Drosophila melanogaster: one gene and its partner. The protein of the gene in region 2 interacts with the protein of the main gene of each other region in a pairwise test. Each region holds a gene or a part of one and is shown on either strand. Other genes may lie near its edges.

Region 1 (7,382 bases), 6.9 Mb from region 2:
CCCAAATACCGTATTATACCCAGGTATACTTAAGTTATCCCCAACATTTGGGGTTTTGCGATAACAAAAGCACGCCTGATAAGCGGAGCGTCGATAAGTGCAATTATGCAATTTTCAAATTAAATACATACAAATATCGTCTATATTAATAAGGGAAATCTAACTAAGGGATCTAACAAACAATTAGATCTCTTAATGACAGTTATTTCGTTATTTTTAGTGGGAAATTCCAGCATACAGTATGTAAATATTTACATGTTTACTATTTATCGCTTTTGAAGTCCATATAATCGTTTAGTGAGTTACTACTGTATGTGGCAGCACACGCACAAGGCGGAGCAGGAGTGTGAGCAAAAAAAGGGAAAGAGGAGCATCAGAGCAGCCAGAGGTGGGAGCAATATCAACAACAACAGCGGCAGCAGCAGCAACAGCAAAGGCCCAAGCATTATTGTCGTCGCGAAACGAAACGTGAGCGTAACGAATGCGCAAGCAGAAATCCAGCAACAAAGCAAATGCAGGCCAAAAAGGCGGTGGAAGAGAGCTGGTGCCAGAGGGTTGGGGGGTGCAGTTAATGGCGCACAGGCAAAGAGCAACAGCTGCTAACGATGTTGACGCGCCGATGACGGCCGCAACCAAATGGGCAGACAGAGCTGCGAAAGAGAGGACAAAGAGGACGATGAGCAGCAGGCGGAGGCGGTGGACGGCGGAGAGCACAAGAGCTTGGCTCTTTTATGGCTAAAAACGCTAATGTGACCGATGGACCGATGTAGGGGGAAGTGGGAGGGGCAGGGATAGGGAAGGGAGCATGACGGAGCGCAAAGCACACGCAATAAGCCCAGGCAGCAAGAACAACAACAGCAGCCACAAAGCAACACAAGCACTCGGCAGCTAGAAGAAGACACCCTCAAAAGATGGAACACCGCAGCGGCCACTATGGCGACCCTTGCCATTTCCCATTTCCCATTCCTCTTTCCCTACCCCCCATCCTTACCGCCCTTCTTCGCACCCACTCACACTTACACTACCGAAATTAACGCACAACAAATGAAGCACACGCATGTGCCGCCGTCGCAGTCGCAGTCGACGTCGGCAGCGAACTCAAGCGCACATCAACAACTACAGACACAACAAATGAGCAGAATTGCATTTTGTGCATTTCGACCCGCAAAAAGTGTAAGCTGGGCACAAAAATGCAAATGACAGGCGGCAGACAGTAATCCCCTATGGATGAATGGGCTAGCGGGGGCGGTGGTGGTTGGTGCGTTGCGCGAGGGAGATGAACTGGCCGCCCATTTCATTCATCGAAGTTGCTAGGGCCCATATACACCAATCAAAGTGAGTCATAATTGATAAGGTGAGTAGAAATACTTTTAACTTAAATAATTTCATTTCAAGGGGTATTAAACCAAAAAAAAAAACCTTAATAACCTTTTTTAACTATATGTTCAGCAACTGTGTAGATATACGCTTTTATATTAATTAAAGTGTAAATATTAACCTAACCTAATAAACCGTCCAACTAAGAGTACTTTGTTACATGTTCAAGTATCTAAGTTTTATTCAAGCATTTCAATTATGAACGAATACTTCTAGTTATTTTATGTTTGGCTAGAAAATCATATTAACAGTATCCGTTTGGTTCACGCATAAACTAACCACAATAAAATGTATTAATGCATTCCCACCTCAATCCTTTGCAGATTTGGAGTTGTTTCGTCGGATGCCAAGCATACCATGTACTACTGCTAGGTGACCGATGTGGACAAGGCAATAGGTGGCGGCGGCGTGGACGACGAGATCATCGAGGTGGTGAAGCTGTCCCTGGAGAAGGCCAAGCGGATGATCCAACAGGCAGCCGTCAACAAAAGCCCGCCCAGCTTGTTTGATGTGCCCGATGCGTAGGCCTAGAGGCGAACGTTGTGTTATAACACTCAACACTAACCAATACGAATGCTTTCCAGCTGACCCGCATTGTGAGGGCGCCTAGCGTACACGATATAATATTGAAATTCCCGTGCCCGTCGAGGCTTAGCTTATGATATGTATACCGTGTAATATATAATGCACCCTGGCCAGATGTCCGCTTATGAATTCGGTCAGACGTGTCATCTCAGCTGCGAGTTCCACTCCCACCGCGGCTGCCAAGTGCATAAGTCGCCTATAAATCAAAATGCCGCAAAACGGGTTCCTCTTTTCTCCGATCAAAACCCATCCGATCCGATTCGATGTGATGGGACCTGGTACTGTGGAGGACCAATACCCATACGTACCCATCTCATCCTATCCGAAGCCCCTGTCGGGCAGATCATTAAATGATCATTAAATATATTATAAAATCCATTTTTGTGATAGAACGTTGTCTACCGACATTTTTTTTTGCTTTCGCTTTAAGTTACTACATAAATACATATGTATTTAATCGCACGCGCAGAGCGGCCAAGCAAATCCTGCAGGTCAACGCTGCGGCACATGTCGCACACACATACGCACAGTGGTAGGCGCCCACCACCCAAACACACTCGCACACACACGCATGCAAATAAACGCATAGTAATTGCATTGGCACGTTGTATAAATAAATTTGCAAGTGTGTGTCGCTGCTGCCGTTTATTTATTAAACGTTGTTGTTATTGTAGCTATCATCAACTTGCCAGGGGAAGTACAGAGTGAGTAAAACGGATCAGTGAGAAAGTGCAAGAGAGTACAATCAATTTCGTATTGTAAATAAAAAGAGAGAGATAAAATAAATTTCCCAACTCACACGGTATCATTAAATGTAAGTAAGGAACAATAAGTTCTATTTGTCAGTTATAATTGAGCCGCCAGTGGGTTCGGATCAGTTTCAATTTATTAGAAGTGCGCCTGTGTGAAAAGTTTCCCTTCTCCACTAACAGAGGCAAAAAAGGAAAGCAAAACAAAAATAAGAAAATAACCAGCAAGGCAGAGCAAGTGAAACGGACAGAAAAAACTTTCATTTTCAATGTCAAGCAACAATAAAAACGTCTGCCGGTTGGGGGAGGCAATTTTGTGATGAGAGAGCCAAAAACAAAGAGCGGGATTAAGAAAGAGAAAGGAAGAAGGTGAGAGAGATCTAACTTTCATTGTACAAGAGCATGAGCATTGGTAGCAATTGCTTGCTATCTCTGTTGCCAGCAGAAAAAGCGTTAATTTCTTTTCGATTTCCGACTCAAAGATTCAAGAACACGTGCAATTGTTGCTGGTTATCAGAGAGCGAGAGAAATAGAGAGCATGAAAAACAGCTGACGACTGCCTTTCTATGCATCTCTGTTACACATCCTCTTGTTTATTTACACTGAGAAAAACAGTTTTACCATTTACTTTAAATGCGATTTTGATACCATCTCATTCTTTTTATAAGCACCCTGTATTAAATCAAATTAAACAAATCGTAAAATTTAGTTTCACTTTACATTTATTATTGAATAATTATTATTATATATTATTGTCTTTATAGATTTGAAAAGTTTTCCCATATCGTAAGTGATGTATTGTTACTTTATTTATTTGTTATTAAACGTTTGTTTTTGCTCAGATTATTTATTTTGGCGGGAGAGCGCCACACCGCTCTCTCCTTTTCCGTCACCTCACACCATGTGGTTATAACCAGACGCGTGGCTTTACAACAACAATAGTCTTACAACAATAGATGCACATACTGACACTCGCCGCACACTTACACTCGCACAGATGGGCAAAATATTGAAAAATTGCCAAAATAAGAGACCAGACATTTTTCGAATGTCGAAAGCAAGACATACTATAGACACCATATAAAATAATGGGAAGACCTCTTGAAAACTCACCATGCTCATAAGGCGAAAAGGTTCCAGCATCTATATTGATATAGGGGTCAATCTTGATCGAGGTTACATCCAGACCACAGGATTTCAAAAGCGTTCCGAACGAGGAGGCAATCACTCCTTTTCCCACGCCACTAATGACGCCACCAGTTACCAGGATGTATTTCATCCTTTCGTCTCGAATGTCAATCTTTGGGATCACCAAATGTGGAGGATTATCGTGTTATCGGTTCAATTCGCGGTGGACACTCAATCTGAGGCAATCCGAGCCACAATTTATTGTTTATTTGCCTTTGCTGCACGTGGTTTTAGAAATTGGATTCGTTTAATATCTCATACGTATTTATGGTATGACCACCGCTCATTTCATTGAGAATACCAGTGACTCACCGTGTGTTGTTAAACGTCACAAAAACCGCGCGGTTTCCTATGCATTAAAATTGAGTTCCCGCAAAAATAAACAAGAATCAAATGTAATTTTAGCATAGCAGTGAGGACTGGTTACATATTTATTTGGAAACTTGCGATTTAAATCTAAAGAAAAAATGGCCTATAATTCGTATTACTTTCCCTTGTTTATATTTTTACTCTTTGTGTATAGTTTGCGTTTTTAAAAGGAATTTCACGTTTTATATTACCAATTTTAAGTGTAAATAAATCATAATATCCGGTAAATTTGAATTGTCATAGATCCAAACAACTTTAAATGTGCATATTTAAAATTATATTAAATAATTTAAAAAGAAATTTCACCGAGAAAAAATATTTTTTGAAAATAAACATCAAATTCATATTGAAGATAAACACACTCCCATTTCAAAGCGCAAAGCATTAAATGTTGCATATTTATTGAATTTTATAAGAAATTATTGAATTATTGAATTTTATTTATACAAAAATAAGAAAACTTTGAAACTCTGTAAATGCGTGCCAAGCGAAAGAAACTCCTTGATCAACCAGTTACTTGCTGGCCTCCTGCTGTTCGAACAGAGGATACTGTTCGGTGACACTCTCCCAGGTGGTTCTCGCCGTCGACAAGTCCTTGACGACGCCCACAACCTCCTCCAGACCGACGCGCACCTGTTTCATAGTATTCCGATCTCGCAGAGTCACCGTATGCGGTTCCTTTAGAGTGTCGAAGTCCACGGTGATGCCATAGGGTATGGCAATCTCATCCGTGCGGGCATACCGCCTGCCAATGGATCCACTGGAGTCGTCCACCTTGTGCGAAAGTTCCGCCTTGGTCAGGGCAGAAGACAGTTTCTGAGTATAAGGTTGAAAGTCGGTGTTGTTGGACAGCGGAAGGATGGAGCACTTGATGGGCGCCACCAGAGGCGGTAGCGTAAAGTAGCACCGCTGCTCGTCGCCGTCGCGGCATTGGAAACTGTGCTCCAACAGGGAGTACATGATGCGACCAATGCCGAATGAAGGCTCAACCACACTCGGGATGAACTCCTCCACATGGACCGTTTTCGTAGAGTGCTTAACGCTGATGGTGTCCTTTCCGAGATCGTGGCTTTGGCCATCGGCCGTGGTCAGTTTGTATTGACCATCGCCAGCCAGCTGTTCCTCTACCTTGGTTATCTCCTCCAGCGAAAGCTTAGCCAACGCATCCGTGATGTTCTTTGCCTCCTTCTTGAAGGTCTTTCCGAGAGCCTGCTTGTTTGGCACAATCTCGCTGACCTCGACCGTTTTGGGAGCCGGCAGACGCTTCTCGGCCACCAAACGCACACCTGTGGCGGCCGTATGCTGTCCCAAATCGTAGGCACTGCGATCCGCACATCCTACGCACTCCACCCATCCGTAGGAGGTAAGAATTTCGGCATCCCAGCAATCGCATGCATAGTGAGCCATCTCATTGGACATGTGCTGCCGGAATCGCAAGCACTCCGGTTTGATACCAATGGCCAACAGGAACTGCTGAATGCGGGCCATATAGTAACCAAGTGTCTCATTAGCCACCAGTTTGGATGCCACTGCTTCGCCGATTTGCACCTGAGCGGCAGACTTTCCATCCATCTGGTTGCACGCCGAGTAAAGGGTCAACTTTTCCGATTTGATGTTGCCAAATTTGGGATGGTCCTTGAGCACGGGATCACAGAAATGTTCAATCTCTGCCATGGTGAACTCTCGCACACGGATCAATCCCGATCGGGGTGAGATTTCATTGCGGAAGGAGTTGCCAATTTGAGCCACAGCGAAGGGAAGCTTGCCTTGATTGAATTCCAGCAGTCGCTTGAAGTTGACGAAGATACCCTGGGCAGTTTCGGGCCGCAGGAATCCCTTGACCAAGCCAGTGGGTCCAATTTGGGTGGCAAACATCAGGTTGAACTCAATCGGTTCTGTTAAATCATTGCCGGTTAATGGAGATTTGATGTTGTATTTGGCCAGGACACCAGCCAATTCCTGTTTGTTCAGGCCATCCAGTTTAATGATAATATCCTCACACTCGGCCTGCAGGGCGGGAGTTGCATCCTTGGCCTTAGATAGCTTTTCCAAAGCCTGCTTAATGAGATGATCCAGGCGGAAGCACTCGCCGGTCTTGACATCCTTGACCATCAGATCAGCGAAACGCTCCACATGACCAGAGGCTTTGAGCACAGGTTCGGGAGTCAGAATAGAGCAGTCCACCTCCAGCATTTGCTCTTCGAGGGCGAAATACTGACGCCATAGGGCCAGAATGTTGGACTTGAGGGCACAGCCCATGGGTCCAAAATCGTACTGGCCGGTGATGCCGCCATAAATTGCGAAACTCTGGTCGTAGAAGAAGCGACGCTTGAGTAGATCCTCCATCTTCGCGCGATCGAAACTAACGACACTGGGGGTCAGGGCGAGCTCTTTGTCCTCCAGCAGCTTCTTGCGTGCCTTCAGCTCGGCTACTGCCTTTTTCACATCGATCTCGGGGGCACCCTTCGCCTTGAGATCCCTCACCAGGTTACCCTGCTCCTGAACTCGTTCCCTCAATGGGGCAAGTTGAGCCTCAATCTCGGGATTCGACATGATGAACTCGGCAGCGGCGGATCTTAGTTTTACCTTTCTATTTTGCTTCTTGGTGCCCCAACTTGTGGTTGCAGCTGGCTGCTGCGGTTGCGTTGGTGGAGGTGGTGGTGGTGCGGAGGGAGTAGGTTTTGTGGTAGTGGTGCTAAAAAACACTTTCGTGGCAATGTGCTCGCTCCACGTTGTTCTTGCAATCTGAGTTCTCACGGCTGTGGTGGCGCTGCGCAGGTGGGGTAGCGCTTTTAACAACTGCAATGACATAAAGAGGCTTTTATTTTTTCAGCCGAAAAACGCGAATTTATGTAATAAACCGTCCAATTGGCTACTGCTGCAATACCTTCACTTTCGGCTGCAATTTCGACTTGGATGAGTCTTAGTCGGCCGGCTTGCAGCACTGTCTTTGCACAACACTGATTATGGTTAACAGAGCTGCTCAGTGATGCGCAATGTTGCGACTTTGGTAAATGTTATTTGTTTTTATTGTTTTATATTTATTTTTTATTTGCTATATTTGGTAAATGTGTCTTGGATAGTTTGGTTTCAACATAGTTTCAACATATTCTT
Region 2 (7,300 bases):
TTGTCCTCTCGAGTAATGACTGCACTGCCCAACTTGACCACCAGCCTCCGGGCGTACTTCAACTGACTCCTTTCCGTGAAGGTTGGATGCGCCTTTTCCAAGCGCCGCTCCGGCGAAACCAGCTGAAACAGGTCGAAACATAAAGCAACTTATTCGGGGCCATTTCGGTGTCTTATCGCCTCAATCGGCAAAGCCATAGAGCTAAGGGAGGTCATAAATTGCGACAGCAGAAGAGTAAGCCATAAAAACAACAAATCGAGGCATAAATTGCAATCCAATTAATTAAATATTCCCCGTCGAATGCACCTAATCAGTGCGTAATCAGCTAAACTTAAAACTGCAATCCCGAATTCCCTTTCCCTGGCCCTGGCGTGGCTCTTTTCGAATTCCTAATAATCGTTGTGTGTTAATTGGTTTTTAAGCCAGCGGCGTGTTTTCCAAAAGTCAGTTAGCCCGACACGCAGTGCATAATTGAATTGCACAATTGCAACATTGGATCATTACCACATAATCCGATCTTAAACACGACGTCCTCTGATGATAACGGCTTTAACCTTAAATTCAAAAATTTTTACCTGCCTTCTGGGTATTCAGTATTCTGAAGATTAAATACCGAAATGAAAACCCATATTGATTTGTGGAAAATAAACTTTAAAAAGTTTTCTCCAGAGTCCTGAACTGAGGCATAAGAAAAACGATTATTTATTATAAAATTATCGACGAGAAATCTTAATAGAGAAATCTCGATAATATTTGTTTAATTTAAGCCCTAAAGGTTATATACTCTTTCAGGGAACTTTTCAATTGAAAAATTATTAACAAATATTTGCGGATGATTTTTTTACTTCATTCAATTCATCAATGTATTTTTCAAAAGCAATTAAGAAAAAGACGACTTTATAAACAATATCAAAATATCCTTTCAATAGAGTACCGAAGGAGGATAAGATTAGCGCGTTGAGGAGATAACTGCTCAGAAAACAAGAGAGTAAACAGCAAATTTGTTTTTCCTACCCCAACAGATGCAGTTCATCATCCCACCTCGCTTGTCCATCAATCAAAAGTATTTTTATTAGCTTTTTTTTTCTTTTTGGCCCCAGTACCATCGGTTTGTTTGGGCGGGGGCTTCGATTGCCTTTCACGCGCAATAACATCCAATCGGGGCTTTTTGTACGTAGAACTCGTCGCGTTTGTCGTGTCGATTATTTCAGAAAAATCAAGTCAAATTGAGGCGTAAATATTTTGATTTCGTTATGTTCGTCAGACAATTCTGATGGCAAGTATCAAGTGCAGCTCAATAAAAGCACCCGTCGACAATCAAGAATGCTCTGTTTGTTAACTTGGTTTAATTGTTCGCCCGTGCCTTATCACAAAACAAGTTTTTAGCACTATCGCAAAGAAATCCAAAAGCAAAGCGACCAATAATTTTTACGACTGCGTCTGGCTGAAAACCGCCGGTGGAACCAATTTTGTTTTCCCGGCTCTCATGGCGTATGCGTGATATCGAATGCAATTAGTCGAAGGTCAGGAGTCGCCTCGGACCTCGGCTCCCATTTCGATTTTTTTCTAATCGAAGTGCAGATAGTGACCGGAATCGACTGCCACATCTTCTGCCCCTTCCGTCCCGTGTCTGAGGCCTGTCAAATGCGATGACAGTCCGTGTAATTACTGAGCAATTAATGCTGGTGCTGCCACATACATGAGTTCTGGCTCCTCGCGGGCTTCACACTTATCTACAGTCCGGCCCAACTTTGACGATTTCTGGCAGCCCTCGACAGATGTTCGGGAATGATGTTAGTGGATCCCCTGACACGATGTCGCCCCTTCGCTGGCTGCCATTTCTGATGGGCTACACGCGTGTTTCCCAGTGCTTCATGTTTACACGACATTTTTTGTTTGACTTATACCTGGTACTCGTACAGCAGTAGATGGGAGTATTAGAGGCAAGAGAACTTATACTCAAGTTTAAGCTAGAGTTTAACGGGAAGTGTGAGTCCCGAAAATAGTTTTGTTATTATAACTGACCAATGACAAGTACAATGAACTATGTATATTTATTAACCATTACCCAACGAATTTGTGGATTTTGGGAAATAAAATGCGCGGAGTAAGTTTAACACAAAATATAAACTTTGTAGAAGTTGAGGTAACCCAGTACTGAGTTAAGGTAAACGGTATTAGCCCTCTTCCTCATTTAGTTATGATATTAGCATTAAATGCCTTGCAATGTAAATAGTAATTGTAGTTTATTGGCCATCACAGCCCTGAAAGTTGGAAGTTCCACTTATACAGCTAACTAATGGGTAATAAAGGTCTGGAGGTCTTGGAGTTGGTACATTGACAAATGCATTGAGAAAGTATACTCATTTATTTAACTTAATGTGCACGTTATTTCTAACTGGATTTTGAGAAACTGCTTCAAAGCGATTCTTATGCCCACTAAATGTTGTGTATATGGGTATGACCACCAGAAGCCTAGACTATAAAAACATTTTGTTTCCTATATTTTCAAATAACAGAAACATCACCCAGCTGCATAAACTATAATGCAATTGGAAACCTTTTTGAAATATATGCATTATTTCTTGGGCATAAGACGAAGTGTTCTTCTTAGCTTTACATTGCTCACATGAATCGTGCGCAGGGTATCTTATTGTCGGATGCATATAGTTTGCTTGTTTCGATAGACTTTTTATGATGTGCCTCACACACGCACAGCTTGAAAGAGAGTCGAGACCAGGACCAAAGGCGCCATAACTGCCAACACGTGTCAAAATGAAGTGAGTCAACGGGGAGGTGGCGCCGCATGGGAATGGTGTGGCTTGGAAGGGATGCCTGGGTGGCCTGGGGTGGCGGGTAAAGGGTGCTCCACGACCCTGACCTAGGCAAATCGTTTTGAGTGTCAAAGGCTGGGCCTGATGTTGGACATATGCAAATGCGGCGGTGACGGGAAGGGGGAGCCCGGGGGCAGGACACACTCGCAGTCCTTGCCTGAGGGCAAGCGTCACCAGTGTTGTTGCATATTTAAAGGGGTTTTAAGTTTATTGCGAAGCCCTGCCTTTCATTTCCCTTTTCCCCCTCCTGTTGTGTGAAAATACAATATTTACACTTTTAGAATTTATTTGAACACGTTTTTGCATTTGCTGACCCAATAGTCCTGGCGGTCCACCAGCTGTCAAGCTGTGACAACATTTTATCAGCTTGTCGGGCACTTTTCCCACTCCCCACCACTCGACAATCGCCTGGTTTTCATGTCAGTGGAAATCAGACCGAAACTGTAAATGATTTACAGCTCCGATGAGTGGGAGTCCTTCGCCCGATGGTCATTCAATTAGCCTGACTCCCCGCTTTTGACGGTCCATTTGCCCCAGTTTATGACCTGGTTTAGGGTTACTCCAAAACCCTTTCAAGCTGTTGTCGGTCGGCCATAAAGAACTTAAAGTTAAATCGCACAACAGTGTTTTGCCTCTTCGATGTGGCTCTGATAAGACATAAGTGGCAGGGAAAATTTTCAGCAGGCAGGCATAGGGTGTCCCCCAATCAGCAGAAGCTGTTGAAAAGCTTATGCAATCAAAACAAAGCACTAGACTGAGAAGGGCCGCTTGTTGCTCATTATTACTAAAGGCATGTGTTCGGTGTATCTGGGGAGCCTGAATCTCCCAGACAATGGCTTCACGTTCAGTCGTCATGACTCGGGCTGTCATAAATTTCTTCGCTGAAATGTACATTAATCGACGCTTATCGGTCAATATACTGTCAATTTTTAATAGCTAATAAAATATGTTTCTCTGTGTGTGCATATGTAAGTCTGCTTAATAGGGTGGACCTTAGAGGGCACTTCAAATATACATTTTTCTGAATGTTCGTTTTCATCAGGTTAATAATTCTTTCTATTTTATAATCATCAATTTTGATAATGGACAATTTTCCTTTGTGGCTAAGGACACAGACTCCCACTCTGAACAATTTTCCAACCAGTTTCGCCACTGCACAAATGATTCTCCCCACCTAAACACAAAGAACTGATAAGGATTGATCATCATCCAAAGGTCCATTCCGACTAGCACAAAACCGAGACGGACTTTGCATTCAAGAACTTTTCCATCGCCACCAGACGTAGCATTAGGTCGTAAAATCACTGTCATCGCACTGTGCTTATATAAACATCACTCACTGGCTGCCGGGGTCCGTGGGAGCTGAACGCTCGCCAGGCGTTTCTGTAGAAGCCGTTTCGAAGGCTCTGGGCCAGTTTGAAACTGTTTTGCAGCATTTTTGGGAATCGAGTTAGAGGGGATGTGTTTTTAAGGAGCTATTACAAATCACGGAACGCGCACGGAACCGAACCGTTAAGCCCGACGATTTCTACTGCGGCGAACCAACGGACTGACCGCCTTGGTCGCTGGTCGAGATAATGTGGGGCGAGCATGTGTAATTGTAAGTGTTCATTGCGATTGCGATTAAAATTTGGTGTACGGTGGACTCTCTCAAAGTGTTATCAGTCAAGCAGCTATCACTCTCCGGTAGCTTGGACTGGGACAAACATTGAACCGGGGAGAGTACGGGTCTTATCAAGTGCAGCAGGCGGCGGAAAGTGGGCTTATCTGGTGACTGGCTGTTTGTCAGGTCAATGGAGCAGTGCGTTTTGGTAGTGACGATGCAAGGTGCCACACGAAAACCCCTTGATGCAGCCAATCATCTTTGGTCCTCCACGTCAAGAGAAACGAAACTTCGTGTTCTTCACAGTAAATTGCCCATCAAATATCACTGCCACTCTAGCACTGAAAAATACTTATAAAAAACTGGCCATTTAAAATATTAATTAACTGTTGAATATCTCAACTTGTTTACATCGATGAAAAGCCCCTTGACAGTCGCAGAATTTCAACAGGCGCATAATCAGTGCACATTGTGCAACCATCCTGCAGCCTTTATTTAATTATTTTCAATAGCGTCAGCACCAGTAATAAGGGAAACGACTGTCAGATTACCTGTGAAATGCAGGCTCTTCTAGCTCAGAATGTCCGGAATGGATTCCGCTGAACAGCAGAAACCAGTCTAGACTAAATGCCCGACTGACACCCGGGCGCAGAATTTTTGTTCTTAATTAAGTGACATTAAAAAGTTTTGTTCCAGCTTTGTGCATAGTTGTTTCCCTTCGTGTCCTTTGCCCCGTGTCCTGTGTCCCGAGTCCTGTGCATTGTCCACGATTGCCATTTCAATGCATAGAAAAGCCATAAAGCACAATACCAAATGGCAACAGGCAAATGGCAACTTCTGGAGGGGCCGGGTGCTCTTGATTGTTTTGGATAGGGCTGCCTGGGGTCAGATAAGTGCTAAATTATGTCCCCGCTTTCTTCAACCCCACAAAAACTGGAACAAGTTTTTCAATCGAATTGTGCCATTGTTTATGACTCGATCTAGGTTATGTTTGTTGCACCAGCGACACAGAACATTCGCAAGAAAACTCTCAATCTATATGCCTCGGAGCAAGTAAAAAAAACGAGAACATCACGCATACGCCAAGTAGGCCAAAGGAATGCTAAGAATAGCTGTAGCGTCAAGCGAAATAATATAGTTCAGTTTCTTCTGTTATGCAATGAGTTACATTGCTGGTTTTGTGCTTTTTTGAGACTTTTTTTGCCAGTAGCTATTCAATTCTGGAGTTCTTTCAAATAAATATGTAAATATCTGCTTGTTGTAACTGTTTCCTCTGGCTGAATGCATTTCGGCGTGCGCTTTCAAAGAGTTTCCCAATTTAAATCTAGTGCAGAAACACAGTATTCGGCAACTGCTATAAAGCCAACAAAGTTGTGCCCCCCTTCATGAATATCGGTGCGCCATCGAATCGATGGCTACCTTCCGTTTGACCAACCGAGTTCATTACTTAGTCGTGTTCTTCGCCCGTAATCTTGGGTTTCAGCACTTGGCAAGCCAGTGGCAGACCTGGCTGCTGGTACTGCGCGGGTGGAACTCCCGTCTTACCTTCTATACCTAATGTATGCGCATTGCCAAAGTAAGTCCTGTCAGTCCTTGGCGAAAGGACTCTTCTTACGCCCTGGCCCGCTTGCCCCCTTGTGCCTTCTTTGCGCAGGCAGTGAAAAATTCACTTACAAAACACTTACGCTGACACCTTGCCACACCCCCGCGCACACACACCAGTATCGAATGGGCGCGGCTAAGGTGCATTGCTGCAGAAACTTCATCAAATCCAAGCTAATCACACTTTGATTTGCATTTTGTAACGAAGAGGAGCAAGAACTTTCCAAGCAAAAAGCGCATCGCCACCACGAGCACTTAACTCTGAGCGTTGCCCCGACATTGATGAATGAAGAAGCCCCTCCTTTGTCCTGCTCTTCCCCACCCCCCGACATTGCCATCGCCTGCATCTGGTAATTATGCTAATGAGATGTCTTCAGTTAGAAGGGAAGTAGACTTGGCTGCCTCTGCCACTTCAGTTAAATGCAATTAATTATATTTTTTATGCCACCAAGAAACTTGGGGATTCGATTATATAAGGTCATAAGGATATGCAAATGTAAGGGGTGTTTTGATGGCTTTTAACTGTATAATACATATTAATTAGGGTATTATTGATTACTGTGGGTATGTACGGATAAGAAATGCTATCTTGGCACTCTATTCTTGAAAATTGTTTAACGAGTCCAGAGTGGAAAACACCTAGATATGTGCAATAGTAAGTACTCTACAAGATTCTCTGGTTAATACTTTGGTCATCAGCTTGATCCTTTCTAGAACTCGGTGTGCTCGTACCCGCCGTTGTCGTACAAAGCCATATTGTTCCGGTTTGAGGCCGTAAAGCTCACCTTCTTGGCCATCGGCACCACAGGCGGTCGCTTTCCAGCCTTCGGAGTTGGCGTGCCCTCGGGCGTGGCTGCTGCATTGACCTTGGCCGCAGAGCGACGCTCCTGCAGAAGCTTCACTGACTTTCGGTTGAGTGCCAGATTCTTAAGGTTCAGCTCGTCGTCTCCAAAGAAACGGCGTTCAAAGTTAAACACCAGATTGCTGTAGTCGCTGTGCTGCTTGTCCCGCGTCTCGTGAAGCCGAAAGATCGTCTGCCGTCGCACCATGCTCTCCCTGTGCTCCCCTTCTAAAGAATCCATCAACACCTCGTCGTAGTGGGGGTCCCCGTCCTCGTCGTCGTCGAAGAGCCTCTTGGGTCGCTGCAACTTCCGGGCTATACTGACAGCACTGCCCTTCAGCTCGGTGGCGGCATCCTCGTCAGTAAACTGACCTCCTGTTCGAAACCAGTCCACCTGAGTAGTGGCCAGCAGCTGGCACA

Evidence for each region. Proteins that work in one complex are often made in the same cells at the same time.
Region 1: the proteins of P5CS (region 2) and Ctps interact in a two-hybrid assay, tested with the Drosophila melanogaster proteins (one study listed by BioGRID).

The regions. Positions count from the first base shown.
Region 1 is NT_037436.4:15,094,959-15,102,340, reverse strand, and holds the start of Ctps (CTP synthase), read right to left. Parts: upstream 4,428-7,382; 5' UTR 3,991-4,427; coding exon 3,825-3,990; intron 3,808-3,824; exon of another isoform or gene 3,554-3,807; intron 3,498-3,553; exon of another isoform or gene 3,476-3,497; intron 3,081-3,475; exon of another isoform or gene 2,839-3,080; intron 2,288-2,838; exon of another isoform or gene 1,701-2,287; intron 1,355-1,700; exon of another isoform or gene 301-1,354; intron 1-300. Other genes in the region: GlyRS (Glycyl-tRNA synthetase), read right to left, coding at 4,782-7,079. UniProt on the Drosophila melanogaster protein: Catalyzes the ATP-dependent amination of UTP to CTP with either L-glutamine or ammonia as the source of nitrogen. Constitutes the rate-limiting enzyme in the synthesis of cytosine nucleotides.
Region 2 is NT_037436.4:21,969,117-21,976,416, reverse strand, and holds the start of P5CS (Delta[1]-pyrroline-5-carboxylate synthase), read right to left. Parts: upstream 4,416-7,300; 5' UTR 4,271-4,415; coding exon 4,175-4,270; intron 123-4,174; coding exon 1-122. Other genes in the region: Chs2 (chitin synthase 2), read right to left, coding at 6,750-7,300.